Linked DNA regions of Oreochromis niloticus. The protein of the gene in region 1 interacts with the protein of each later gene in a biochemical or structural test. Links are inferred from orthologs where the notes say so. Each region holds a gene or a part of one and is shown on either strand. Other genes may lie near its edges. The genes, in order: lck, ptpn22, ptpn6 and receptor-type tyrosine-protein phosphatase C.

The links.
Region 2: of the proteins of lck (region 1) and ptpn22, one has a biochemical effect on the other in vitro, tested with the Homo sapiens proteins (3 studies listed by IntAct, with this or other methods). The link is inferred for Oreochromis niloticus from reciprocal best matches to the Homo sapiens genes LCK and PTPN22.
Region 3: of the proteins of lck (region 1) and ptpn6, one has a biochemical effect on the other in vitro, tested with the Homo sapiens proteins (4 studies listed by BioGRID and IntAct, with this or other methods). The link is inferred for Oreochromis niloticus from reciprocal best matches to the Homo sapiens genes LCK and PTPN6.
Region 4: of the proteins of lck (region 1) and receptor-type tyrosine-protein phosphatase C, one has a biochemical effect on the other in vitro, tested with the Homo sapiens proteins (5 studies listed by BioGRID and IntAct, with this or other methods). The link is inferred for Oreochromis niloticus from reciprocal best matches to the Homo sapiens genes LCK and PTPRC.

Annotation. Positions count from the first base shown.
Region 1 is NC_031983.2:27,529,555-27,536,640, reverse strand, and holds the start of lck (tyrosine-protein kinase Lck), read right to left. Parts: upstream 3,023-7,086; 5' UTR 2,742-3,022; intron 1,050-2,741; 5' UTR 1,045-1,049; coding exon 937-1,044; intron 391-936; coding exon 330-390; intron 1-329. UniProt on the Homo sapiens protein: Non-receptor tyrosine-protein kinase that plays an essential role in the selection and maturation of developing T-cells in the thymus and in the function of mature T-cells. Plays a key role in T-cell antigen receptor (TCR)-linked signal transduction pathways.
Region 2 is NC_031984.2:8,838,364-8,845,504, reverse strand, and holds the start of ptpn22 (tyrosine-protein phosphatase non-receptor type 22), read left to right. Parts: upstream 1-4,124; 5' UTR 4,125-4,253; intron 4,254-4,599; 5' UTR 4,600-4,689; intron 4,690-5,011; exon of another isoform or gene 5,012-5,030; intron 5,031-5,074; exon of another isoform or gene 5,075-5,537; 5' UTR 5,538-5,554; coding exon 5,555-5,656; intron 5,657-6,877; coding exon 6,878-6,986; intron 6,987-7,141. Other genes in the region: uncharacterized protein LOC102083214, read right to left, coding at 1,135-1,303, 1,434-1,587, 2,479-2,796, 2,924-3,247, 3,990-4,023. UniProt on the Homo sapiens protein: Acts as a negative regulator of T-cell receptor (TCR) signaling by direct dephosphorylation of the Src family kinases LCK and FYN, ITAMs of the TCRz/CD3 complex, as well as ZAP70, VAV, VCP and other key signaling molecules.
Region 3 is NC_031976.2:23,272,484-23,280,197, forward strand, and holds the start of ptpn6 (tyrosine-protein phosphatase non-receptor type 6), read right to left. Parts: upstream 3,003-7,714; 5' UTR 2,988-3,002; coding exon 2,977-2,987; intron 1-2,976. Other genes in the region: chd4b (chromodomain-helicase-DNA-binding protein 4), read right to left, coding at 6,098-6,300. UniProt on the Homo sapiens protein: Tyrosine phosphatase enzyme that plays important roles in controlling immune signaling pathways and fundamental physiological processes such as hematopoiesis.
Region 4 is NC_031981.2:1,863,496-1,871,261, reverse strand, and holds the start of receptor-type tyrosine-protein phosphatase C, read right to left. Parts: upstream 3,017-7,766; 5' UTR 2,781-3,016; coding exon 2,717-2,780; intron 1-2,716. UniProt on the Homo sapiens protein: Protein tyrosine-protein phosphatase required for T-cell activation through the antigen receptor. Acts as a positive regulator of T-cell coactivation upon binding to DPP4.

The DNA.
Region 1 (7,086 bases):
AACCAGAAAATGGAATCCGAATGGAAAACTTTGTGTTCATAAACAATGAAATGGAAAGATTTATATTGGGATGGCATGAGGGAAAAGTCCAGATGTACTGACACTAACACAATAAAAAAACTGTAATTATATTACATAATTATGTATACAATTATTTTCAAATTCTACTCGTGCAGTGCGTCTGTTAGCCCCCAGGAAAATGTCTGAAGTGCTAAACTGAGGCTGTCGTGTGTAACTAAGCGAAATAATTAAAAATGGATTTAACTCCATCAGGATACGTTTATAGACACACAGACGCAGAAAAATGTACTTGTTCTAAAACCTGTTACCTGGTAAAGGTGATGTAGGAGGTGTCATCTGCGATGGATATGGAATCAGCTGATCTGTGTACTGGGAAGAAATAAACAAGATTAGATTTCCATTTTATACTTTGTAAGATTTGTGCGGTCAAACAAGACACCATCGCACGTCACATTCACTGTAAAACCGTGAAGTTCTATGGTTTTATACGTGGATCGTGACGGTAAATCATAAGCGGTTTGATTTTTTTTTGTAACTTCCAGGTGAAATGTCTGAGTTACACCACACACACATGTGGTTTTCTCCTTTATTTCTGTCATTTCCAGTCTAATGGGAAATCTAATTCTCAGAGAGGAAACAAACAACATTGGACGGATAGTTACGCCCGCATTTAATTACACAACCAAAAGGAAACTTCCCTCACAGTTATGTAAGTTATACAGAAACGTATGACCATAATCAACAACAATCCACACAACACAAAATCCACTGTGGGTTTACAGCTTATGTGTTTGTCCCCCAAGTGGTCATTCACACTCACCACAAACCAGAAGCTTTTCATGTATGGACGCTCATTCATGTGCACCAACACACTCACACTAATGTGCACATACTACACACAAAATGAACACTTACTGGGTTGCATGATTGTGGCGGTATGGGACAGTTGCAGTGTTCGCAGATTTCATCCAAGTTCTCGATCCAGTCACTGTCTGAATAGTCCGAACTGCAGTTGCAGCCCATCTTTTCTGCACGGCGGAAACTTGTGGTTATTTTCAAAATGCGATGGTCATAAAATGTGAACAACAACTTTGCAGTGGAAGAAATGGCATCTAAGATTCACCAACGAATGAGTCCTACATCGCTTTACAACCACATATTGTAATCAGTATTTAAAATTATGTAAGTTGAATTCTCTTGGAAAATCTAAAGAAAAACAGTATTAGTAAATCTTTTTTGGCTAAATTTGAAATTGTGTGCTCTAAAAAGCTTTTACTTCCGAAAACTGCTTCAGTCGGATGTGACCGAGGGCCTCGCCTCAAAATGGAGCCTCAGAGGTAAATCGGGCTCAGAAATAAGAGTCTGAGACCTGAAGGGACTTTTTTTTAAAATGCTACCCTACGTCAGTTTAACAAAATCACATCCAGAACTGACACAGTTTTGCTATAATGTTCAGCACTGTTCAATGTTCAGTCACATCGGGCCGTTACCTGCTCTCATTCTGGAGAAAGTAAAGCAGGCCCTGCAGAACTGTACCAGTGTTAATCTGGTATAATCCAGCGTCTGCTCGTGCTCTGTGTTGTGTTTTAGACTGGTACTGTGTATGAACCGGCTTTCTCAGGCTCGCTTGGCTCCCACCAGACCATTCATGGAAGAAGGTCAGTGGGCCAATCGCAGCAGCCGTCTGTCCCAAAGGCTCAAAGCCGTGAGAAAAATCTGGAGAGGCCTCACCCGGCAGTAACAGCCCACTACTGCCCCGAGACCCCAAGAAAGGAATCACAGAGGGATCATAAAGATGTTTTTATTTTATCATCAGCACTCCTACACTTACTGACACACACTCGGGGAGTAATACAAGTCAGCATTTTCCACTGAGGGGTTACCCTCTGCTTTTTATCATCGACATCTGAAGGCTTTTCCAAACTCATACTGATGGCTGTTGTTATTGTTTCCAATGTAGTCAAGGCTACTTCACATATTAAGTGTACCAGAAATGATGTGACGACCAAGATTTTAAGACTTTTGACTTCAGTCACTCGTCAGTTCAGAATCTTGAAGAAACAAACCACAAAAAAAAAACACTTTTTAAAAAAATAATAGATTTTAATAAAGTGGAACAGATATTCGATTGATTTAAGTTTTTATGTAAATTGCTGGGACACCATTTTAACAGCAGACTATTATATTTATTTACCATTTTAACAGTTGTCATTGTCGACATTGTTTCCATATACAGACAAACCTGTATAGGAAGTGTCAACTTTGTATCAAAATACATTAATGCCCCAACTTTTTTTTTTGAAAATGTTATTTAAGGACAGATTAATAAAGTCGATTTACAGAAGCGTTCCTATTTCATACAAGAAAACGGTTTGCTCTTTTGTGGTCACATCTTCCTTGTAATGCAGATTTATATCAACAGAGGAGATAACCAGTAACTGAATGCGCTTTGTTACTGTTGTGAAAGATGAATTTCAGCAGGCTGAACATTATTCGTTTATTTATGTAAGTGTTTTGCGTTGCTGCCATTTGTTATTTTTCAAATTCAGTAAACTTCATACAAAAGTCCAAATTTGAAAACGAGCCCCAGATTTATGTAGAATATTTGCTTTAAGACAAGAAAGACATTTAAATCCTTTCCTGTTACATCTTTATCACAGTTTTACTTTACTTCTTTGACATAATCTTAAAGTAAGAAGAATCACACGTGTGAAACTCACCTCTTTGGATATGAAACTTCTCCTCAAGCGTCCAGTAATGTCCAATAATGTCAGATTTCAGGTGCCGCCATTGAGAAACTCTTATTTAAATCTTCTTTTTTTAAAAGAGTTCTTTAAGTGCAGCAAGCAAGTTTTTCAGCACTTGAGCTTAGGTGTGAAGATGTCATCATCCGCTTCTCTTATTATAACACTATCACAGGAGCGCTTATGCGGTGCCTGCATGCACACATGCGCACTGTGGAGGGGAGCAACCCAGAGAGTTTCCTGTCGTTGAAAGGTTGAGGGTTGCTCTGCAGGCTTTTAACAGGTGCTTACTGTGCAGCTGTGCGAGAGCAAGGGGGAACGTTATGGGCTGTACGGTAAAGGGGTCAGGACAGCACCTTTCCCAAAGAGGGGAACAAGACATGAATTTTCCAAAACAGTTTAGAGACGGGGGGCTTTTGTAGGCCGCACTTTTGTGTCGCTCGCTGTCTGCATTTAACGTGTGAGTTGCTGACCTTTAAAGTAAAGAACATCTTCAGTGTGCAGCTGAGGTGTTGGTCCAGAGCAGTTCAAAAGATATTTGAATATCTTGCAGCACTCGGGACAGTTGCATTTCCTGTGTCGTGGTTTTATGCCTCAGGTGTTAAGTCAACAACACTACAAAGTTTTCTTTTTTAGTCAGACATGTGGTTTGAGGATATTCTTGTCTGTGGCCAAAAATGGCTTTAAAATTAACCTTTGGTCTTAGTTTACTCAGCTTACTATTAAAAACTGTGAAAATATAAAGAGAAAAAGCCTGTCACAAGCTCCACACCTCCTTTATATAGAACATTGTGTAACATAGAATCATAATTTTAGCTCTTATTTTGCAGAGACTGTATCATGGTCACATTTCTACTCGAGAGAAGGCACAAAGTAAAAAGCCTCTCTGGCTGTTAACACCCTCTAAGCCTGTGCTGTCGCATTTTCGACATTTCATACAACTCTAGCCGTGGACCGCATCTCTTCTCTTGTGGTGAACGGCTGCTGCTACATAGCATGCACTGGCAGGAAGTCAGTCCAAACATTACAGGAAGTGCACAGAAATATGTGCTTAGAAGACTGCCACAGCATAGATTAAGTCTCACTCATGATGAAACCACCTGAGTTCACTCTTTTTTCCGTTAAAGTGCAGAGTATAAATCTAGGAGGATGTGTGAAATGTGCTTCACTTTTCTCTTTTTTTATTTTGAGAGTGATGTAAATAGGTAGGTGCATGTGACTGAAGATAAAGTCTGATCATCCAAGAACTCTTCTTTGATACGTGCTGGGAGAAAAAGTGTCCCGCCATGTTTGGCGATCAGCTTTGTGCAGGCCTGGAGCTTTAAAGGTATTCCTTTCTTCCTCTCGACCACAGTTGTCACTACTTCCAAATGTGGTTGGAAATCACATTCTGTTACGCAATCAAACTGTGATGCTATCAGTGTGCAGAAAGTTTTCCAGGCCTCCTACCTCCTGCTGCATGATGCAGGTGCTGGCCTCTTTCATGAATGTAAATGAGGGTTCTTTTTTTTGCTTTTTTTTTTTGCCTCTGGTGCTTACTCATGTGCATCATGTAAGCTTACTTGGCTTCACGATAAACAGATGGATTATTATTCTTTATTTACACTGTAATATCTTCTTCTGCTGGTTTGATGGCAGGCAGAAAGATACGGGCAAAAAAGGGTCACGGGAAAGTATCTCCACAGGGCAAAGAATGAGCAGCCTGAGAAACACAAGTCTGCAGCCCTTTATTATGAAAGCATTCACTCGAGAATGCGGCCTCAAGCAGTAGTACTTAATCCTCTGTGTCTTCCATATGATACTCATTTCCATGTGTCTAACTATTGAGGTCCCGCGACCCACATGAGATCACACAACTCCTAAAGTATGCCACTTGTGATCATTTCAACAGTCCTAGTTGCGCTCTCATTTAACACGGCGTCTGCGCTCTGCCAAGGCATATTTAGTGTCGAGCTTGACTATGTCTGCTTCTGCACATCCCTCCAGGGCCCCTTTCATACGTCTGAGTGTTACAGCAGGTCATGGCTGTCTCTTGGGAGGAAAGAAGATACCGTTGTGCCTGGGTGGCTTTAGGACCGAGGGTGGATGATGGAGATGGATGTGGGGATGTTTTCCCTCACTTACACCGACAGAAATCATGCCGTCATCAGCATTTATATCTCTGTTCATCCATACTCATGTCTGCTCCTCCCATCTCACAACAACCATTCATTCGAGCTCCTTTAAACATGGCAGGAGTACCTCTGGGCACCCGAGTAAGTGCAGGGTCGAACTGGCCGTTGTTTGGATGAGCAGAGCTTGTTTGTTTGGCTGTCCTTGCTGTGTTTATAGCTCAATTTCAGAGCCTAAGTTCAGAGCATAAGTTTAACCCTGATCTTAAACTGAGCCTAACCCTAATTCTAACTTCAACCAAAACTACTTACAAACAGGTCTCTGAAAGGCAGTAAAAAAGCAAAAAGAAAAGGGATATCTCACCAAAACTTTTAAGCTTTTACAAAATGTCATGACTCTAAACGCTTGAAACCTCAACCTGTTTCTGAAAAAGGTGGCTGGGAATGTTTTTATTTCACTCTATTCGCTGTGTGTGGTTTCCTGAGACACTTATGTTGCTCAGATGAGTGTTTTTTTGAGAAAGCTGCCACCCATTCTGAACAGGCAGGTGTAACGCTGTCTCCCATCATAAAGTAATTATAACTGACTCAAATATGACAAAAAACTCTTTAATATGTCCTTTGTGTGAAAGAAAAAGATTTTGAAATTTACACTTTAAGGCGTTTTTCTTATATATTCATTCAGTTAAGTCATTACATTCACATTACAACTTGATTTAACAATCTGCATAGAATAATACATTTAATAGATGTTTTACACTTTTAATGCAAGCAAAGTTAAATTCATTCATTCTTTTTTTTAAACTAAACTAAAGAGCAAATCATTTAAAACATAAAATACACTTGGTCACTTGCCAGCCACATATAGTCTAAAATCAGGGCTCTGCAGCATCCTGACGTGCTAATGGAAAACAAAGAGCATCGGACACGAGCTCCTGGTTTGTGTCACTGCAGCGGCTAGGTTGCAGAGATATTTTTGGTTTGTGAAGAAGAGGTGTAAAAATGCTGGAGTGTGACCTGCCTGTGGCTGCTGTAAGTGTCTGCATTAAAGGACTTTGTTTACTTCAACGTGTTGCTGAGAATTTCTTTATCGGCCCAGACCAGACAGGAGCAGCTGCCTTCATGCTTCAGTATCAGTAAACCTGTGTTTCCCAAACTTTTTGGCTCATGACCTTTTGAAGGGGTCGTTAATGGCTTTGCTTAAATCTTACTTGACATTCAAAGGGCCAAAAAATATATTTGATGGAAATACATTTGACTCTTTTCAGAAGTCGTGACCCAGTTACTTAAAAAATAAATAAATAAAAATCTGCAGATGTGAACATCAGCAGTTAGTGCACGGCTGTGCAGAAATGGTATCTAATCGTGATGCTTGTAAAAGCATGATGGCATGTAAGAAGTAAAGAGGCTTTAACCTTACTTAACTGCAGTCCTCACATGGCAGATCAGGGTAGATTAAAAATAAAACTTGAGTCATGATTTCAGAGAAGAGACGTTGCTGCTGAGGTATTTAAATGTATTTTAGGGAGAGCTATTAGATTCCATTATATTCAAGAGAAGCCAGGCAAAGTGAGAAACTCAGAGCCAACCCAAACCAGTCCAGAGAGATGAGTAGCATGAGTAGCACTGCAGGCCACAGGGGAAATATGTCATTTTGGTTTTTATCGTTTTCTTCTGCATGGATTCAAGCTTGAAAACAGCTTCAATATGTTTTGTCTTTATTTCATTTTCTAAATTGTAACATCTCATTTTTGTTCCAAGACCTATTTAGGTTGGCAGCAAAACTTCTGAGGTGATGTAAAGTAGTGTGAACATTTCCTCATTTTCTGCCATACAGTGCTTAACAAATGATTTAGAAATCTGTAAAAAAAAATAAAAATAAATAAATAAATAACTTGAAGTAAAAATAATTTTCTTTTGTTTTTTATCAGGCAAATTGTTGCTTCTGTTCAGGAATGCAAGTAAATGACTGTAATTTGTAATTTGGCATTTTAATCAATAACAGTAATAATAATAATGTGCTTTACTATTTTTTCAGTAAAAAATTCACAGATAACATTAATTATAATTTTTATTTAATTTTCATTAAAAAATATAAATTTGATTAAAGCGCCTGCACATGTTGCCAGATTTCAGAAGTATAAAAATTAATTTGGTAATTTTCAAATGCATGCTCTAATGCATTTGCTAAGCACTGTATATATAAGTTA
Region 2 (7,141 bases), on another chromosome or scaffold:
AAGACCCAGTAAACTAAATATTTGGACAACTGTATGCTACAGTTCATATACATCACTAATTCAAGGATAATATTGCTTAATTCTACCTTATAGTTTAGTCTGTTTCTAGTGTTGAGCCAGCAGTACTAGAATTTTAATCAACCTGATATGACATATTTTAATGCCCTACAACGCCCAAGTACTGACACATTGTTGTGATACTGATTTCACAATAAGTGGGTGAGGTATTTGCATTTCTTCATAACCTGTAACAGCAATAAATCCTTTATCATATAAAACTTCCAGAGTCCAGAATTTAAGTATAATTAATGTCACTAATGCAAAAACAGCAAAAGTACATGGTAGTCAACGACTGCAAATTTATTTATTTATTTTTATAACCATCAGTCTAATTCATGTGGAAATTCAGGGACCTGAAACACACCTTTTTTTAATCATCTTGGGGTACATTCTTAGTCATCATTAATATTAAAACAATCCTCTTGAATGGCTCTCTTATGACGCTCCATATATCTGTATAGACCTAACATAGGTCTGAGTCAGGAACGCCGCCAAGGAGATATGTCTACTTAGAGGTAAAGAAAAGTTAAATACCTGGTACTCTTCATCAGTTTATAGAAGTGAAGAGGGCCTTAGATAGAAGGTAAAACATCTGAAGTTTGTTTACATTTATTTACACTACCTAAGACAATACCATAAGTCACAAATTAATATTTTCACTACTTAAGAAAATCATAGACCTTTTATTTTCATTGATAGTGATAATCATCATTAGCTGCCTTCTAAAAAGCTTTGTTGGTTTTAATGTCAATATTTTGTATAACTAATGTATACAAAATTGTGTAACTACTATATGAAAAGTTGTACCTGATAAAGCAATCAGCAATCTTAATAAAAACAGTTATTTCAATGGTCTCGTAGACTCTTTTAAACTCTAGTATTTCAAATAAATAACAGACCATTTTGGTAAGCATTGCGTGAGTCATTCTGATAAACAGTCTGATATGTTATGCCCTACCCTCTTCACAAACACTCCCATGTGATCAAAGAACTTTGGTCAAGTATTAAGCCACAAAGCCGCTATCTCAAACGCATTATTCTAACTTCCACAGAACTACCACAGTAAACTTCAGGTCACTGACACGCATGGTAAATTCGCCTGCAATGAATATTTGTCTTCTGGTTGGCATATTTTTTGTATCTTCTTCTTGTGCATTTAACAGTTGTGCAAATGATTATCAGCAAGGCCAGAAAAGAACTCCAACGCAGCAATGTGCACCAAAGTGGCAGTCCTGCCAATGATCTAGAAAAGAAAAGGGGAGGGGGGCAGGTGTTTTGAGACAGCATCTTATGGCGAAATTTCAACAAATTTAAATTCTCTTTTCAGCCTTTAGTGATTCTTCCATAGAGAAAAAAGTAGGATAATGACTAACCTGATGAAAAAAAATCCTTGAGTGGTTTCATTCAGTTGTAAAGACTGATTTCCTGTGTTATCACTGTTGTTCATAATAACTAGGCAGGAGGTCAGAGTTGGTGTTGTGACTGTGGTTGTGCTCATTCTGTCTGCACAGTCATAAATTGGTTGACCTGGTAATGAAAAAAAAATTACAATGATAGTGCTTTATGGACCTTGAGGATGAAGCTTTTACAGCATTGTAAAAACAAGAGAGAAGAAAACAGACGTTGTTGTTTAGAGTATTTCATGGTAACTTTAAACTCTTTCTTTTATGTTTATTGTGTTTTTATGCTTTGAATATAATACTAATAACCTGATTTTTGTTAATAAAAAAATAGAATAACCCTAAGGAAAATTTGTACATAAAGGGTTTGTACATACTGTCATATCTGTTATAACCTCTAGGAGTCACTGAAGTCAAAACTTACACACGATGCCTTTAATCCTTTCTTCCAAGCTATAGTTTACTATACTACACACACACACAGGCATGCACGCATGCATGCACACGTTGCATAAAAACAATTATTAAATGTTATTTTAATTTTATCATAAATGTATGGCTTTACAGTGTCACAAACACGCAAATAGTCTATTTTTGCCACTAATATATGAGGGTATGATTATTGTAATCTTTTCGTCTTTCATATAACAATTTTAAGAACTAGGCTATTAAACTTAAACTAAATAGTTTTAAATAAATAATTAATGTCTTAATGTGAAAAAATCTCATTCTAAATTAAAAAACACACAAACTAAAAAATGATCACAAAGGGAACAGAACCACATCAGTGCTAAAACATTACACCAGAACACTTGCCATGTTTTAAAATGAAATAAAATAATTTATTTGTTGCTTTAGTCATTGCATATTGTCACTAAATATAAATGGTTGCTATATAAATGCTGCATGTTTTACCTTTTTTGCAACTGTTCTAAAAGCATTTTGTTAATCAGTAAATCACTGTAAAGACAGTTCTCACATTTATATTTGCACAATGGAATATCACATTTGTTCTTACCCTGAATATTAACAACATAAATACAGCTGCTGTCTGCAGGCATCAGAACCTGCACAGAGATGAGCTCACTCTTCTCACTGCTTATGTCATTACTGCCAATACAGAAATAACTACAGTCCTTTTGAACAGTGCCACAGTGAAGGTACAAGTCTGAAGCTTTATGAAGCAGGAAGTCCTTGCTGTCAATGTGCTGATACCAGGCATAACGAACACCAGTGCCCTTTGCACAATCACAGCGTAAGGTAACTGACTTCCCCCAACATGTTGGCCTGTCCACCAGAGAGCTCAGGGGCCAAAGTCGGGGCTTGGACACTGGAACTGGCACAAAAAAAGCAATGTCAGTCCAGTCAGCTTAATACCAAACAAAGGCTGCGATGCTGCATATTTCACGGTTATTGTAAAATAATGTTTATTTTCTAAGTTGCATAGGGTCTTTTATTCTTACCTTCAGTGATAATCACTTTGACTTGGATCATAATGTCAGCATATATCTTATCAATCCCAACCCAGTACGCTCCAGCATCATCAAATCGGAGATTTGTGACTTTCACAAACAGCCCCCTTCTGTTTAAATCTATCACTTGGGACCTGTGTGTGTTTCGACTGTTTTCTGAGTCTGCCACAATCTCACAATTGCCTCTGGAGGGCCCTCTGCACCAATACTTTTTGCTGTACAGAAAATTATTTATGCTATACTTGCATTTAAGGATAAATTCACCTCCAACATGGGCTGTGATCTCTCTTTTATCACATTCAAGTTGAAGACTTGCTGAAATACAAGGCAGACAGAAAGAAAATGCTTGTAGTCTGGAAAATCATAAAAATGTTATTATTATTATTCAAATTTTGATTGTCAGATATCAAAAATGCTAGAATAATTGTCATTCAAAGCCCGAAAAAAAAACCTACAAGCAAAAAAAAACACCTCATAAGTACGTGAGAGCTGGGGGTAGGTGTCAAACATCCTGTGCGCATTTACAACACTTCTGTTTCATTTAACAGTAAGTAAAAAGCACAAAAAAACCAAAAAAAACCCCCATATATTTCATACAACCTTTCAAGAAAAGGTGTTTCCCAAAAAATAGTTTACATGTTAATTAAATTTAAGGTTTAAAGAAAAAAAAACATGTTAATTTAAACATGTTTTCTTCTTAAATAAATATTTCAATAAGGAGTAAATTAAAGCATTTTTTATAGGCTTGTATGTTTTAATTATAATTTCAAATCTTAAACAATTCTAGGATATGAAAGTGAAACAGTATTTTTTTCACATACCAATGTTCTAACTTTTAATAGTAAGTTTACTGTGACTGAAAAATATTAATAAGAAATCAGAGTTTTTATTTATGATGCTAGAATAAGCAGTGATTTTACAGTTTAAAGTCACAGAGAAGAAGTGGAAAAAAAATATTTACAAAAATAGAGCTTGTAGAGAGAGAAAATAAACAATGATGATTAAGGTGCTGAAAGATTTTAACTTTGATAGAAGGTTTAAATTATAGCTCACTAACCTTGAAAAAGCAAAACCAGGTACAATATCTTCATACTGGTGTCAGGTTTGTTGCTTGGAATCAACTATAATCGACAATCAGGAAACTGTAGAGGTGGACTGTGGTGATCTTAGCTTCCTGTAGGTGCATTGTGGGTTACATAAATGCCTTTGCGTCTATGCTAGGCCTTGAACACGAGTGTAACATGCAGCACCACTAACTAGTGGCAGTGAAGTGAAAGAGTGGGAACCCTCCCCACATAAGAGCTGTACTTCACTTTATCTGGTAAGAAATTCCCATTTGTTTAATCTAGTTAGTCATAGTTTATCCGACACTGATTTTGGTTATTACGGGCACCATGATATACATTTGCACAGCAGATGCTTAATTCTTTATGACTGGAAAAAACATGGCAAAAATCTTCGTTTAACCTTATGTTATTCGCTAGTCTGTCTTGGATGCTTTGATATTATCCAGTGATATTTTTCCGACTTTTACTGTAAACCGGTGACTAATGTAACATTTAGTTGAGCGTCAGAATGTCTCCGTTAGTTTACTACAAAGCCACTAGATGTCACTATTCTACTGATGTGGCGCTCAGCACCTGCTTAATGTTGCAATGTCCTGTCAGAACTTCTCAATGATGCCACCACCCCTGACAAAAACATTAATTGAAGGTTGACTGACAAAAGAGGCTACATCCACGCCCGTGAGCACTTTGGTAAGTAATGTATTTTTTCATCTGCATTTTTTAAGCCACACTCTTTTCAACGCTGAGCTTTTATGTATATTTAAGAAAGGGAAGTCTTTTACGGGTGAGTTATTGCCCGTGGTTCCTGAAAACATAGCTCCTCCCACTACTCTTTTTGTGCACACATTGTGAATTTAAAAGTATTGTTGCTTAACTACTAAACAAATTGCATGAATTTATACTAGCTGAGATTCACAAGATTTTTTTTATCATCCTGTCTCACTTCAATTACAAAAATGTCTACTGTACAGTAAAGTAGGTACATGAAGACTTCCCAAAGCTCTGAGTGGATTACTGCTGAGCAACTAAGGGTGATTATCTCTGACACTTGCGCTCCCTCTTTCTTCTGCCTTAGGCTCTATCCCTACATGCGTTTCTCCTCCACTTGGCTTGTGTATTTAAAATATTGTACAACTGGCTAGACTGTCTGCACTACACTCTAATTTTGATTAAGATGACCTGTTTTGACTGTTTATGTGCATAAATATATGTTTGTTTTCCCCTGCCATCCCATTTGCAACATATTTATGCAATAGAACACCCGGGTGACTTTAGGACCCTGTGAGAGAAACCCACAGGGGGCGCGGCAATATTTTTAATCTGACCACAGAACCTGTTAGCTTCCTCTTACATTCTGTAAGACAGTTCAGAAGTTCCCTTACACCAGTTCCTTCATGTGAGAGCTACAATACAGAAGTGCTCTGTAGCGGAGCAACGCAACTGCCTCAGTCCTGTCCCCAAGCTTAGCAAGCCTATCCATGACCTGTGGACAAGGACCTTTGTGCCATGACATGTCTATGAGAACTGCCCTATCTCAGACAGTGAACATCCAGCCATGGACCAGCAGGTCAGGATTCTGAGAAGCTTCCTGGATGACCTGGAAAGACAGGAGGCTGCGGCTGAGGAGGCATCTAACGGCATTGCTGGGGAGTTTGTGGTGAGTTAACCGTAATGTTCCTCTTGTTGAAGTACAGCTAAAAATTCTCAACCCAGAAGACATATTGTATTTCTCGATGGTTTTTACAGTCACACGCTAAAAAAAAGTTGTATTTTTATATTGACAGTAAGCACGTCGAAACTGAAAGTTCTTAGTCTTCCCGATTTTTAGGTTTTTTACAAAAGACATCACACTGAGGGAAGTACCACACTGGTATTTTTCGGAGGGTTCCAACGCCATTTTTATTCTTCCTCTTTGTATTGATGCTTGTCACTAAAGGCACAACAAGGAAGAAGTGTAAGCAAAAGTCCTGTAACACTTAACGATTGACGACTAGCAGCAACAACAACCACGCACGCACGCACACACACACACACACACACACACAGACAAACACACTCACACAAACATACTAACTTGTGCCTGAGAAGTGTTAACCCCAGGGTGACATCATCTGTGGGCTGCTGCCATGGTGATGAGTGACATGGCGGTGCCTGAAGACAGCACTGTGTGCTTCACATGCTGCCCCTCTGCTGTCATATTGCTGCCACCCCAACCACTCCAGAGGAAAGAGTCCATTGCATCACTTCCTCTGAGGACAAAAAGCACTTTGTAGTGTTAGAGAAGTGCAGATGTATTTCAAGTCCTTTAGCAGACTCTTTTAGATCTGCCTCAAACGGCCTCAGAACAAAAAGACCAATGTCTCAACAAGTCCTGCAAGCACAAACGTGAGTTTAACTTGAGAGTCCGAGCTTCCGCTTAGGTGATTTAGAATCGAGGTCCTCTCAGTTTGTCAGCCATCATGTCAGTTTGAAGTCAAATGAGTCACAGATTCTTCGTCTGAGGCTGAATCACATAAAAACTGACCACATGTGACAATGTGCAATTGGTCACATATAATTTGCTGGTTATATGCCCCACTTTTTACTCACTGTCTTGTATCAGTTGCTTATGACCTTAAGACATCTGCAATATGAAAGAGCTTTTCCAGTAAATGCGCAGAAAACACTACCATGAAACTCATATTACCCATCTGCTGTTTTGGCTAATTAAATAGAATTTAGATGCATTTACATGATACTTGTATCTCAATATAAGCTTGGAGGATGTTTCAGTATGACACATTAGCAAAACATGACAAAAATAGCTTTCTGGCATTTAGATGGCTTCTAGGAACTATGATGAATGCAGTGCATTTAAATTTCTTTTTGTGTTTTTCAGAGGTTGAAAAGTCAGTCAACAAAGTACCGAACGGACAAGACGTATCCTAGCAAAACAGCAGAAAAGCAGGAAAACATCAAGAAGAACCGATACAAGGACATTCTGCCCTGTAAGCTTGTCTAAATGTATAAAAATGCAACAGTTTTACAGTTTACTGCATTAACACTGTAAAGGAATACTTCTAGATTAGTTTTAAAGTATATTATTACCTATAGTGTTGTGCTAATGACCAAAAAACAATATAAACAGTATATAATGCTCCAT
Region 3 (7,714 bases), on another chromosome or scaffold:
GCAATGCATCAAACTGTTTCTGTTTAGAGGAATTTACAGTACACGCACTTCTGCTCTGCTCATTAAAGGCCTGAAGAGCTAAGATAATATTAGTGATTGGTGACAGAAATTGTTCTTTTAGCCTCACAATCACAACTTCTTTGTTTCTAAAAGTGAAGAGTTGTTCCTCTCTCTTTTTGTATGTTTCAAACTAAATGCCACCGCTTTGATTGGGGAACAGTCGGGCAGCATTTAGGCTGCATTTCCTACCAAATATTGCTTTGAGCTTTTGCCTTTAGCGCTGCTTTAATTCTTAGTGGCATAGATTCAACAAGGTTCTGGAAACATTCCTCAGAGATTTTGGTCCATATTGATCTGACAGCATCACACAGTTGCTGCAGCTTTGTCAGCTGCTCATCCATGATGTGAACCTCTCATTCCAACACATCCCAAAGGTGCTCTATTGGATTGAGAGATGGTGACTGTGGAGGCCATTTGAGTACAGAAAACTCATTGTCATGCTCAAGAAACCAGTTGTGAGCTTTGTGACATGGCACATTATCCTGCTGGAAGCCGACATCAGAAGACGGGCACACTGGTCATAAAGGTCAGCAACAACACTCAGGTAAGCTATGGTGTTCATGCTCAGTTGGTATTAAGGGTCCAAAGTGTGCCAAGAATTAATCCCTGCATCATTACACCACAACAGCCACTTTAAATGTTGATACAAAGCACGATGGATCCATGCTCTCGGGCTGTTTACACCAAATTCTGACGATATCATCTGAATTTTGCAGCAGGAATAGAGACTCATCAGATGAGGCGACGTTTTTCTAATATTTCATTGTCTGGTTTTTGTGAGCCCATGTAAATCATAGCCTCAGTTTCCTGTTCTTAGCTGACAGGAGTGACAACTGGGTGTGGCCTTCTGCTGCTGCTGTAGCCTATCTGCTTCAAGGTTCAGCATGTTGTGCATTCAGAGATGCTGTTCTGTGGCTGTAATGAGTGGTTATTTGACCTACTGTTGCTTTTCTATGAGCTCAAAACAGTCTGTCCATTCTCTTCTAAGCTCTGACATTAACAAGGCACCACAGAGATGGTTGTGTGGGAAAATCACAATAGATCCAATAGTTTCTGAAATACTCAGATGAGCCTTCCTGATACCAACAACCAAACCATGTTCAAAGTCATTTAAATCACCTGTCTTCCTTGTTCTGATGCTCAGTTTGAACTTTAGCAGGTCATCTTGACCACATCTACATATAAGCTAATGCACTGAGCTGCTGCATTAAGAATTAATTAGACAGGTTTAGCTAATAAAGTATCTGGTGAGTGAATGTGTAGACTCTAATTTCCATATGTCTGTTACCTGATTTCCTAAAAAAAAAAAAAAATACTTTAAAAACAAAAGGCAAATCCCATTTGGACATGTTTGGATGTTTTCCAAGATTAATGACCCAATGCTTATTTTCCATATTATTACCCTTTATCTAACCAGGAAGTGACACTCTTGAAATAAAGAATCTCTTTTGTAAGAGTGTCATGCACTCATACAGGCAGGTTAAGGCACCCAGGGAGTTTTTCAATGCAAAGTAGAGAAAACCTGCATGACTAAGGGGGAAAATGCAAACTCTATACAGAAGTAATGCAAGTATGAGTGACAGGTAAGGGACTAAAGTGAGCAAATGTTTGAATACATTAGATCTGCTTTCAGAACTACACTGAATTATGACCTCCTTTTCTTCAGCCAAGCAAAAGTGAAGTCCAGAAGCCTGAGTTCAGTTATAAAGCCACCGCACAATATTTAAATCTTGCAACTACAATTCAAGACGCAGTGAATACTCGAGATATTTGCAGATCTGCTTTCAGCTACAATGCACCACAAAGACTGAAGGAAATCCAAACTGTCCTTAAACTACAGACTTTCACTCCCCTTGGGGATCTTGGAGCTTTATTACCTGTTTTTTCGGATTCGGACTGTGTTTTTTTTGTTCTCCCTGCTCATAATTTCCTGCTGTCATATCTCTGTTTCGCTTTTTTTGTTTTGTTTCCAAAGCTTACTGGTTAAATAAGTGTTTATAGCATATATATGAAAACGGCACTACAAACCACGATGTTCAGAAAAGACTTTTCCACCCACACTGTAACAACTGGAGTCATAAATGACAGAATCTACTCCATCAAATGATTCCAGTCGTATATTTAAAAGTGCCACTGGGATATTTTTAATCATGAATATGCCACCTGTCATGAATTTGTCGACTTCTCCGACAGCTTTTTGTATTTTTAATAGGACCATGTCCCTTTGCACTGCTTCCAAGCACTTTGCTTTCTATTGTGTGCCTTTCTCTTGTTTTGTATATATTCCTTTAGGCTGTATATATCTCTTCTGTTTGCCGTTTATTCCTGATTTTTTTACTATTTATATTTGTTTTTTGCTCCTGCACAGTTGGTGTGGAGCACCCGTTGTACATGTACAATGACAGTAAAGAGCTATTCTATCTATCCATTAGTGTGGCAATTTTTTAAACATTGTAATCTCTGACTTTACTGTAATTTTCCACTTATAATCATCACATTTTACTATTCTGCTGTGAACTAGCAGAATACTAACTACTGTTTATGCAAATACTCATAAAAATGATGGAAAACTATAATTAATTACATTAGGACAGAATATCTGTCATGGATTAGGGAAGCCGTATAGGTATAATAAGCACAAATAAAGCCATTTAAAAAAGCATTCTTGTATAAAATATTGTTTTAAAAAAGTTAGTAATTTTAGCATTTAACACTGCTTGGTGGTTTGAGGGTTAAGCATATCCTCCAAAGTCTTCAAAGAGACAGAAAAGAACAGACAAAGCATAAAAAGTAAAGTAGCAACAGTAGAAACAGGTAGAACAGAAGCTCAATTACAAAAAAAGGTTTTGCAAACACCTAAAAGCAGCAGCGGGAAAAGAAAATTAAATATTTGTCACATATGCACAAGAAACTTACCCACAAGACATTATGTGGACTCCACCCCCCCTTGCACTACGGCTAGTTTAGTCTGTACGAGGAAGTGATGGTTGGTTAAATCCCGATGATGAATATTCCTCCGCCACGGATCAGAGTAAAACTCACAGAGGGAATCAGGTTACTTTAACATTCAGCTCATGAATTTTGAGCGCAGGTTAAATCCCCTTTTTCCTTACACCCAGTCTCGCTCAAGTTTAGCCTTCCTCTCTGGCTCACTCTCTTTCATGATAAGATATCAGGCTTCATTACCGGCCCAGTAACCCTCCCGCCCTGTAATTTACTCCAATTTTCTTAATTAGGATTCTATCTGTGGAAGAAAATGTGCCTGTTCCTGCCCCGCTTCTTCTCTGCTCTTCCTCTAACAAACTCTTCCATACACAAATTCTCTCAGGTTTTTCCACCTCGCTGCATTTGCTTCCATGTAAATTCCACTTTGTCTTTCCAGGTTTGCATGCAAATTATGGCATGTTTTGTGTGCGAGAACAGTATCAGACTGTTCTGAACGTGCACTTTTTTTGTGCATGCAAACGTTACAAATTAAAGAAAAAACCTTCCTTAATGCAAGTTTTTTAACGCCCCTTTATAAAAAAATAAAAAGGAAAATAATAATCTATGACCATCTGAGCCACTTCGTGACAGCGCGGCTGAACATGTATGGCCAACTTCCTTTAAAATGGTCCCTGAACACCTTGAAACCTAACTTAGAAACAAGAGTGGATGTGTAGTAAGGCCTCTGCACATTTGACGATATGGATTATCGTGTAATTTTAGCATAAAATTCCCTCTAGAAGAAACTGACCATTTGTTTTTAGTTTCTCTAACATTTTGATTGTATTTCAATGATAACTTGAAGCTAAAACTGTATATAAAGGGTCACTTGATAAATAAGATATAACTTATCTGAATCATTTTCTTTTTTTGCTGATATTAACTCAAAATAAGGTTTAAAAAATCTCCTGGAAGTCACACCTCTTCCACCATCTTTCATTTCCCCCCAGGTTTCAGTTCAGGAGTGTTTTTTGGTTTTTTTTTAACTTCATTTATTTCTGTCTCATAACTAGTTTTACTAAAGACACAAACCTCATGGTGACCTTAGAGGAAAAAGCCAGGAGGGTATCTCGCAGTCTCATTCGCGTACACGCAACTTGCGCGTGCATGTTGGCAAACAGGACAGGGACACGCCCCCTTCCCCCCCAGAAAGAACACATGGCTGAAGAAAGTAATTTAAGGTCATTTTCAGTGTTACCTGTGTCTCTTTAAACGGGAAATAAATGAAATGTTACTTTATTTATTTCACCGAGGTTTAAGTAAATCAATCGTTTTATACTTTGCTGTGAGTTAAAGACCTTTGTTTGTGTCTAGCTGACGGTTTAATTGAAATATGTATGTTTACATTTTCTATGACAGCCGGGCATTCATCATCCATGCAGATGCGTCTTCTGAGGCACTGCTCAAAAAATTAAGGAAGCACTCGATCATCCCAGTACGACACGGCGTCAGTTAAACTTCAGGGAAATCAATCTGTCCTGTTAGGAAGCGTAACCAATGTGAACACGATACAGAGGTGGAGAGGCAACAATGTGTCAAAAATGTGCCATCCTTGAGAAGCTGGATTACCGATGAACCTAAAATAACTGCAGGTACAATCACCTCATGCTAACTGTCGTTGCAAGGAGACGCAAAAAAGCAAAACCAGAGAAAATTGAGTTTTCTGTGTATATATATATATATATATATATATAGTGTCAGTGGCCACTTTGTTGGGTAAATTTGTTAAACTGATTGTTTAAATTGAGATTCGAGTAGCATGTCTACAACTCTGGTTTTACTAAAAATGAACCTATGAATAACGTGTCTAGTGTCTAAATAAATTTTAACAGTAAACCACGCAGAGTTTGGCGTTGTCACTCTTCACAGAACTTGCCATCCCTTTAGTATCAACGCTCACATGGCTAGAAACAGAAGTAGAAGAATGCAGTGCTCAAGAAAAAAAGGAGAACCAAACGTATATAATCAGTTTAAAAATAAAACGTGGTAACAATAAGAAACTGTTGAGTTTTTTTTATTGTAGTCCATAAAAACAAACAGCAATGATAAAAACAACAGGGTGGTAACCATAATAATAATATTCAATAATGCAAAACAACATAACAATAGACAGTAAGAAATTAAATTAACTTAAGATTGCCATCAACCTCAACGCCATCCCATGTACCTAAAAAGCTGGGGAGCTATTGCGAGTTTGTATTACAGGAGACTTCCCATGAAGCAAATCTGTGGTGCAGTTAGGAATGTCAAGGTGCTGTTTGGGTTTGTGAGCACAAAGAGTTGATCCCCGACTGGGTCACCCGTCGGATCAGGCAAGAGTTTGAGAAGGACGGAAGAAGAGGTAACAGATCTGACTGACTGACTGATACAAAAGTGACAGTAACACCTTCTCAGTGTCGGGGCATTCTGCAGTAGAGATGCATGTCACTATGCCCTGTTTAACACACACATACATACAAGAAAACACACACACCTTCACTCTCCATACACACATACAGATGAGGACATTAGAGTTAAATGACTTCTAAAAAAACATACAAACAAAAATTTCACAATTTCCTAAAGGTGAAAACAAGCACAATAAAATCCCTTGAAGTCTGGAATAATCCAAAAGTTACCACAAAGCACCAGTATACTCCAAACATGCTGCTTTCCCTCCGGTCTAAGCCTCTTCTGCTTCATTATACATATAGTTACACACACATGTTAGATCCTGCTGGAAGGACAGGTCAGTTCAGTGTTCAGGACAGAGGGGTTCAATCTGATTCCCAGTGGAGGAGAAAGACGTCTGTATCTAGTCTGCCGCAAAGAAAGAGAACCGATTCTTACATTCGCTCCCACCCTACATCTACAGTCCCAGTCTTTTCAAAATAAAGTCCAGCAGCACAGCTGATGCTCTTCTGAGTCCGGAGATGGGTTGTGGGTGCAGAGGAAGAAGTACTAACCTGACTGTGCTGTACATGGTGGCTGAGGGGGAGGAATTCTGCTACATGGCGGTGAGGTGAGTGCGACTGGCCTCGTTTGGGGAGTGTGAAATGTGCGAGGGGATTGGTCAGCGCGGCACCTGCATCTGCTGTGCGGTCTGTGATTGGTTCTGAGCGGTGACCTCGGGGCCCCGGCTGGCCAATCGGCTGAGAATATTCCTCTCGGACATTTGTAGCCGCACGGCCACGGGGGGTATCCTGGCGATGGTAGCTGGGAGACGGGTGACGTCGGCCTTCATGTCGCTCAGCAGTTCCTCGAGCTGTTTGAGAACTAGAAATGCAGCACAGAAATCGGCATAACAGGGGTGAGCAGTCAAATTTTGGTTTTTGGTTAAAATTAACAGCGTGGCATGCCAAAAAGCAGCAGGGGACAGAAAACAGTAAGGATGGGTTTGTAAAACTTTAACAGGAATCTTCCTGTTAAAAGGAAGTTTTTCCTTCCCACTCTCGCCAAAGTGCTGGCTCATAGGGGGTCGTACGATTGTTGGGTTTTTCTCCGTATGTATTATCGTAGGGTCTATCTTACAATATAAAGCGCCTTGAGGCGACTGCTGTTGTGAATTGGCGCTGTGTAAATAAAATGGAATTGAACTGAATTAAATATGGAGCACAAGAGTTACACAGTATCTCTCCTTCAGTACCATTTGTAACATTTCACCAACACTCATAAAATAACGACAAATATAAACCTTACACATTTCCCAGATTGAGCTCTGTGTGAAATCAAGCTTGGAGGCAAAAGTGTCTCATCTCGTTCCAGGCCCATTAAAGATGCACTGAATCCATATTTGTGAGTTTATAAGGCTCTTTTTCCTGAATTTGAGACAGTTTACCTCTAGACAACAATGTAATTGTACAGTGTGGATGCAGGGGTTTTTTGCACTTGATGCTAATTTTTGTTTATGGCGGAAATGTCTGTTTATGTAAAGTAAAACAATACTGGTGATGAGTTAAAATATGATGGAATATAATGGAGTTTTTGGACAAATATTTACTACAGATTGAAATGCATTACCTACACAGCCCTTTTCTCAGTCAGAAAACGTACTCTGGTAATTGAAGCAATTGAAGCGGAACTTTTAAAGCACTGAAGAATGTCCAATATGTCTGCCTTAAAAAATTTCCAACGCTCCCTCTGTTTGTTTTTAAACAGCGTGTGTAGCTGAAGTTGTCTACTGTCAAACAACTCAAAAAACCATGACCCAGACATGAAAAAGCAATTATTCTAATCGTTGTAGTGCAGTTTTTCAAAATAACATAGAGAATTGAAAAATACAGAGAAAGCATTTCAAAAACCAGAGCACCAAAAGCAAAACACAAGAAAAAAAACACATTACTTTCACCATTTCATCACCACTGGATTGTGAAATAAATACATTTCTTCATCATTCATTCACTATTCAAATGACCTTTAAACATTACTGTTTTCACCAGACTCACATGCTTCATCAGCTCCACGATGTCTTTTTTAAATAAATATAAAATATGTCGCATTATTGTTTCATGCCATTTAATAAAAGTAGTCTTAGTGTTAAACAGCCCCTGGCCCAACGCCGGCACAGTGGGAGAAAACTGAGCAACTATGACTGCTGCTGCTATAACTGAGACACTTTTCATTAGAAGGAGGATAATTACTGTGAGTTCATTGATGTCTAGGCAGCTGCAATTACGTATGTCATTATGTG
Region 4 (7,766 bases), on another chromosome or scaffold:
CCAAAATCAGTATTTTCGATATTACAAAGAATTAAAAAATAAAAAAATAAATTTGAAACATATCCACAAGTACAGGAGTTAGTTTACTTTGAATGGGTTTATTGATGTTGTCGATTTGTTCTTTATAACAATAGAAATGAGAATTGAATGATTGGGTGATTGGGGACAGTCAAACAATGAGACTCAGGATGTGGTTTGGCGCGTTGTTGTTTCACTGAATCGTGCAGAGATGCAACATGTTTGCAGCGACATTTCAGCGCCTCGCACAAATGCAGCTCATCGATTATTAGTTTGGAGATGACTGCAACAGGTTTAGTGAAGGTTTACTGAATCTTTATTTATATCATAACTATGTCAGTATGATGTGTTTGAAGCCCAGGAACGTAAAAATAAAGAAAACCTGTTTTTCACTATTTAAAGTCGTTATTTAAACTGGTTTTAATTGTTTTCAGGAAAGTAGGTTTGTGATTTGCACGACAGTATCATAGTATTATGACAATCATAAATACAATAATGTGATTATCCCTGAATGCAGTAAAGACACTGACACAGTAACCAGTTCTTTCTCTAATTCATTGATTTTCTCTGTTTTTTCCTCCTTCTCATGTTTTGCATTCACCACAGAGTCCTGCTGTGTGACACTCTCCTCCTCCCAGAAACTTTAAAATCATGCTTAACATTTCTGACCTCACTTCTTCATTTTAGACCCTGTGCTTCCCCTTTTTTTTCTCAAGTCATTTGCTGCGCGGTGCCTCGGTCTGCTCGGCCCGCGCTGCGCTGCCAGGAAATGAAGACGACTCAGAATGAAACACGGAAGTGGTCAAACGTTTTGATCACACAACGCCGTCTTGCTGCTGCTAATGCAGGCGGCCTGTTAAACAGGGCCCAGCTTCTCTCGCCCAGTTTAAGCAAAAGACACGTGAACTTTGGCATTTACTAGTGAGCTGACACACACATGTAGTAATTCTTTAAAAGTAGTGAAAAAAAGCAGAAAAATATAGAAAAAGATGAGCAAATTGAACTAAGTTTTAAACTATTTTTAAATGTGATCAATATTAAAATACAATCATACACTGAGAGCATGTTTTTATTTTAATCCACATCTTTTCCACATTTGACTTTCATCTTAGAGAGACATTAGACAGATTAACAATGGCACAATCAAATTTAACTTTACTGATTAAAAAACGTGGATGTTACTCATTGGTGTTCCTAACATTTTGTCTGTAACTATTACATATTGGTTATATGTATAACTTACCAAAGATAAATAATAAAGGATAAAATCAAATGTTATTAAAGTGAATTCAGATTCTTTAAACGTAATTATTGTTTTCTAATCTATTCTAATCATGTAAGTAAATAAAAGTATATCAGTATTTATGAAAGTAAATATTTAAACACAGTGTTACGTGTTTAGTGTTGGATACAGTTTCATGTAAAATTCAGTTAAATTGTAAAACAATGTTTGTTTAATAATAACTGTGAGTTTTCAGTGGAATTAGAATAATAATATTTCAACGTGAGATTTACTGGATGATGGGCATAAAGTACAGTAATTAATATGAGATACATCACTAAACAGAAAATTTAGAAATTTTATTTTTGGATATTTTTATGTATTTATTTTTTTAAATAACGGCTGATCAGTTAAAATCCATGTCAATATGACTGAAAGGAAAACAACAATCATGTTTTGGGGAGCGATGATGACACACCTTCACACTGGCTGAGAAATTCTGTATGTTAGAAACAAATGAGGAACACTGACTCAGACTGAGGGCAAAGACGATGGAGGGAAATAAATGACAGATTTTATTTCAGCTCATCAGCACAGACTGGCTGAAAACAGCAGAGTTATAGCAGAATAATGAGTGATGCTGGAGGCAGTGAGGTCAGTGTAACTTAGCGTGCACACACATGCACGCAAATGTGCACGCACACACACACTGAAATGTTTATCACATACAGCACCCACAGCCACCGAGGTTAAGAAGCAGCTTGCAGGGACACACCCCAGAAAATTTCTCTCCTTTCAGACAGACACAGCCCCCCACCTCCCCCCACTAACCCACAGTTACACATATACAGTATACAATCACACATTCATACGTGCACGGTATCAAAGCAGAACAGAAACACGATTGCAAAAATTCCCAAAGAACCAAATAAAGGAAAATGTTTTAAAGAGCACATTCTTCTTATTAACAGCCGCCTTTGATTGAACATAAGAGTTCATTCTTCTGCCAAACGGCTCAGAAACCTGTCATTTTTTAAGCTTTCACATCACAAGTGTGTGCAGTTCCTGTCTGCTGTTCTTGGGGTTGGAAAGTTTAAGAAACGTGAAGCAGCACAAACGCGGATGCATCTCCAAAGCGTGCTACAGCGTAGCCTCTGCCCTCCGTTTTTTATTTAAAATGTCACATTTTGCTTGATGATGTTTTACAGTTTTCAAAAACTAAAAAAGCTTTTCAGCTGACAGATTCATGTCTCCATCTCACAAATGGATAATAATCCTCATACACGATCACAAGCTCAACATCCGACTTCAAACACAGCGAGTTTAGGGGGGGAGACTTCATCACCTACATGATTTGCATTTGCAGACGTTTTTTTTGTTATTTCTCCTCAGTTTACAGATACAAAGAGACATTTCAAAGTCTTTGTACAATCCTTAAAGAAAGCAGCACCGAGAACACTGCAGATGGTTACTTACAGTAGGTCAAACCGATGATCCCGGCCCAGAACAGCAGGACCTTCAGACCCCAAAGACCTGCCATGTCCAGGAGTCAGGGTGTGTACAGCCACACACCGTGCAGTGAAACCAGCCGGCAGATCGTCGCACGCCAAAACGTATTTCCAACTCTTACCTCAATTCAAAGCTAACATAGAAAAAGCTGTCTTTGTTAAAGCTACATAAGTTCTCTGTCTTATCGGTTGACACAGCTTCCTGGACTTGTTCCCCAAACTCTAAACCTCGCCTTTGGTTTCGAGTCAAGCGAGTGGCGGTGATGTCACACTTAAGAGACTGCCTTTACCTTAACGTCTGCTGACAGGAAGCATCATTTCAACTACGCCACTAAGAACAGGAAGCCGTCGCTCGTCTAATGTTCACTTGAATTTGCTCAAGGGTGAAATCGCTCTGACCTTTGAAAAAGGAGGCTGATGGCTACCAATACGGTCAAGATTTCAGTTTAAGGGTTGCGTCTGACATATTAGGGTTTAGCTCAAATAACATGAAGCACACAAATGGAAGATGAGACTGATGAGAGCACCGTGAAGCCTCCAGGTTAAAGTTTTAGGCCTGAGTAATTTCTGTTTTGTTCATGTTAAACTTCAACAATTTTGCTTGTGAGACGCGAGACACAGAGTTGTGAAACTTCTTAGAGCATCTCGTCTTTTTCACTGACTCCTCCCCTGCAGGCCCACGACTGCTCGTCCGTGCAGTCAAAGCTAACAAGAAGTTAACACTGCAACGTGCAAGAAACCAGAGGCAGTCTTTCCTTTGTTATACTCTGTTCTCTTTTTTCTTCTTCTCTCCTTCTAAAGAGAGAAAACACGCGGCCATTGGCTCCAGAAATGAATTTCTTCATTGCTTCAGTTCATCTCACGTGAACGACATTTATAAGAGGCGTTAGATCTCTTCAAAGTCATTGATCGTGGTGTTTGATCACCACGCTTTGCCTCGGAGCCCAAAAATGCTTTATTTCTGTTTACATACAGAAGAAAATAGGGGATAAAAGAGGAAGGAGAGGAGTCAAAAACTCTCCGGGGAGTGAGACTCACACACTGGGGGGGGTGAGACTCACACACTGGGGGGGTGAGCTGATGTAAAAATGGATGAAACACAGTCAGCTTTTCATGCTCTTATATGAAATAATACAGGGAACTAAGCAGAGCCTTCTGTGAGCTGGGACGGTCGTACTGAGCTGATATAAGCTTTTACTTAAACTTAAACTTACACAGCACACTTTGCATGGCGTGACAAGCTGATATGAATCACACAGTTATATATAGTCTATTTAAAAAAGAGCAGTAGTCATAGTCACATGACCTCCTTGATGTTTTCATTCATTTTGAAGAAGAGAAAGTTTCTTCTTTCTTTCACTCTGAAACATTCTGTGGAAATTAGTTTGAATGTACAAACCCAGCAGAAACATTGTTTCCGACAAAGACATCAGCTTTTTGTAGAAAATCTAAATATGGATTTCCTCCTAGACAAATGAAACACATGCATTTGGCTATTTCCACTTCTCACAGTGCAGATTCTTGTAATCAGGAAGTGACTCTTAAGCAAACAGCCCAATGTTCATGTAATCAAAATGAAGCTGTTGGTACAAATAAAATGTGTTACTGCAAGACTGTACGAGGAGCGCAGTGTTGCTGTTAGTAGCTACACAGATATTTAACCAGTGTAACCGCATGTCATTCATTAGATACACACTGTATTTAGAAATGAAGAACATAATGTAGCACGATGAAACCTCTGAATGCTGCTCGTGTTCGCCTGTACGCTCCCCCCTCCCCCGCCAGACAGAAAAATAAGAAGAAAGAAAATCGCCTCATGTTTAATCACATTTAAATGCTGTAAAATGCTGTCAGCACTCGAGCCTTTCAGAACGAAATGATCGTAAAATCGGATTCAATTATTTTATCACAAGATATATTTTAAATATGATCTTTAAAGTATGTGCAGTGTATTAATTTTTGTAAGAAACTACAAAGTTTTGTCGTTTAAAAAGTGAACAGTTCCTCCTGAGGAACCACTGAAAACTTGGGTTTATTGAATATTGTATCAAAGTTAGATTGTTATCATTATGAAAAGAAAAAGAAGAAGTCGATTGGCTACCTTTACCATCTATTGACCAACTAGTGACATGGTTACATGTAACATGGTTTTCTTACTACAGTGGTTTTAATAATAGAACAGCTGAACAGTCCAAAGAATTACAGCCTCCTGACCTTCAGTGTCCACAACAGGAAGGCCCAAAGCATTTTTAATGTGACATAAATGTTACATAACAAACATATGTTTTAATCAGGGTTAACAAGTCAGCAACAGCTGCCACTGAGGCAGGTGGAAAAGAGCCTGGAAGGTTGGAGGTATGCACTGGAGAGAAGAGGAGGAGGAGGAGGAGGAGGGGGGCAACGCTGAAGATATTAATATTTTCATTGTGAGTGAAAAGGATGGACAAGTTCAGACATTAGTATGTCAGAGGGTCATCACAGCAGCAGAGTGTAACGAGGGAGCAGCTGCAGCTGAAGTCCAGAGACACGAGTTTGTCAAGCTCAGTACTGGTGAAAGGAGCCACACTAACATGAACTTGCACCAGGCAATGCAAATAAAGACAAAGATGTTTTTCTGCAAGTTAAAATATTTTAAATTAAAAAACCCCACTAGCTTCACACTGCACTGTGAAAACCATAAAACCATTAACTCGTCATCAGAAATGAAGGAAAGGCTTAATTAATTTGCAAAACTCAAACTTGTTTTGTTTTTTGTCTTTACCAGAGAAAGAAAACAGGGCCTGCGGAGAAATGAACAAAATCACAGGACTTCATTGTAAATTCTTAAAATATGTTCCTGTAACTTTATTTCAACTCTCAGTTCTTTGTCCCGTCAGCTCTAACAGGTGAAAGTGCATTCATGCACTCACATTTAGGTTTGGTGTGAGAGCTGTCTGACACCAAGTAGCAAACTCTGGCAGTTAAAAAAAAACTAAGCAAAACCAAAGTCACTAATGGTCACTCGTAACACAGCACACACAGCATTAAAAACCCATGTACTCGGTACCATTTTGAGTTGCTTTAATGACATTTTCAGCAAAACTGACTTTTTTCTTTTTTCATTTTACATTTTCAGGATGTCGTTACATCAAATGGTTCCACACAGATCCACATCAGCATATATATCCAACAGGATGTTTATTTCCCATTGAAATCTGATGTGTTTTCAAAGTGCTCCTTTTATTTTTTGACCACACACACATATAAAATTTCCCAACGTGCCCTATGGGGTGGTCTTATCCTCCAAGCTCAGGTCCTCTACCGGACACCTGGCGCTTGAAGGTCCTGCGCAGTATCTTTGCTGTTCCTTGGACGCGATCTTTTGGACAGAGATCTTTGGTTTTGTTTCTGGGATCTGCTAAAGCTACTCGCTCAGCCTTCATTGGCGACGTCTTCTTGAACTCCTCTCTCAGCCCTTTGTACTTCAAGCTTCTCTTTTTCCTTTCATCTGATGTTGCTTTTGCTCATTTATCACAGGATCTTAGTTCGGTCATTCTCAACCACTGTAGGGGGCGTGTCCTATTTTGACCTCAGGACTTCCAGGCCATACTTGGCACAGATGTTGCCTGCAAGCATCTTGCACCCTGCTGTAATGTGTAAGATTGCCTGAGGGGCATCTTTACACAGCCTGGCTGGTCTCGCCTGGTGTGATAGACCCCAGCCTCTATGAATCTTGCACTCAGAGCTTGTTCCTGTGCTGCCAAGATTAGTGCCTCTCACTAGTCCCCAGCCTCCTACCTTCCGCCAAGTGTGCAGTCTCAGTGTGCTTGATTTGTGGTGAAACCCTCCATGCATGGTCAGGAGCTTCCTGGTCTTGATGTCAGTGGCTTCTATCTCCTCCTTCACCCAGCTTATTATCCCAGCAGGGTATCTGATCACCGGCAGGGCGTAGGTGCTGATTGCCCAAATCTTGTTCTTGCCAGTTAGCTGACCCCCTCAGGACTGGTTGCAGAGCATCTCCTTGGTAAATCCCATACTTGATGGTGACTTGTGCTATTGGCTTGCAGTTGGCCTACAGTTTTGTTCACCACATCCCCTCTGAATTTCTGATGAAGGCCCTTAGGGTCTTGTTGATCTTGTACAGTTCTAGGCATTCCAGGATCCATGTGTGGGGCATCGAGTCACAGGCTTTCTTATAGTCATTCCAGGCAATCCACTGGTGTTCCTGCCCATCCCTTTCTGTGCCCTGTTCATATATTGAGCCATGTGCCCCTTCATCTTAGCCCGTATGATGCCTGACAGGCGCTTCCATGTGGTACTGAGGCAGGTTATTGGCCTGTAGTTGGATGAGACTGGTCCCTTCTGGGGATCCTTGGAGATCAGGACTTCAGTTAGACATTTTGGGTGTCTCTCATCATTTAGCAGCTGGTTCATTTGTGCTGGCAGACTCTTGTGGAGTGCAGTCAGCTTCTTCAGCCAGTAGGCGTGAACCATGTCAGGGCCTGGTGCTGTCCAACTCTTCATACTGGAGACCCTTTCTTGGATGTCTGCCACTGTGATGGTTACTGGAGATTCCTGTGGTCTGCTGTTAGAGCCACAAGTCTCTGAGTATTGTTCTTTCCCTTTCTTCATTCCACCTATCTACAGCTCCTGTAGTTGCTAACTTCCCTCCACACTGCCTTGATCTTGGCCTCTCCTTCTCCATGGAGGGTATTGCTCCTTGTGGCTGTTGACCTTGTAGCCAAGCATCTCAGTGATTATTGCTGCCATGGTGTAGATCAGCTGATTAGTCTCGGTGATGTACCAGTAGGGATTTTCTTTAATGCATCCACATCTTCTATTATTACCTCAAAGGGTACTTCTTGGTAATAAACCATGAATTTCCAGCTTGATCATGATCTCTCAGGTCAGCTGGTCTTGCATTCGCACCTTCAGTTGTACTGATCGCAGATGTGTGCAAGGAGCACACTGACCAAAGTAGATAAATATGCCTGATGTAACAACGTTTAAAGTGCTGTAAGAGCTTTGCAGAAAGTAGA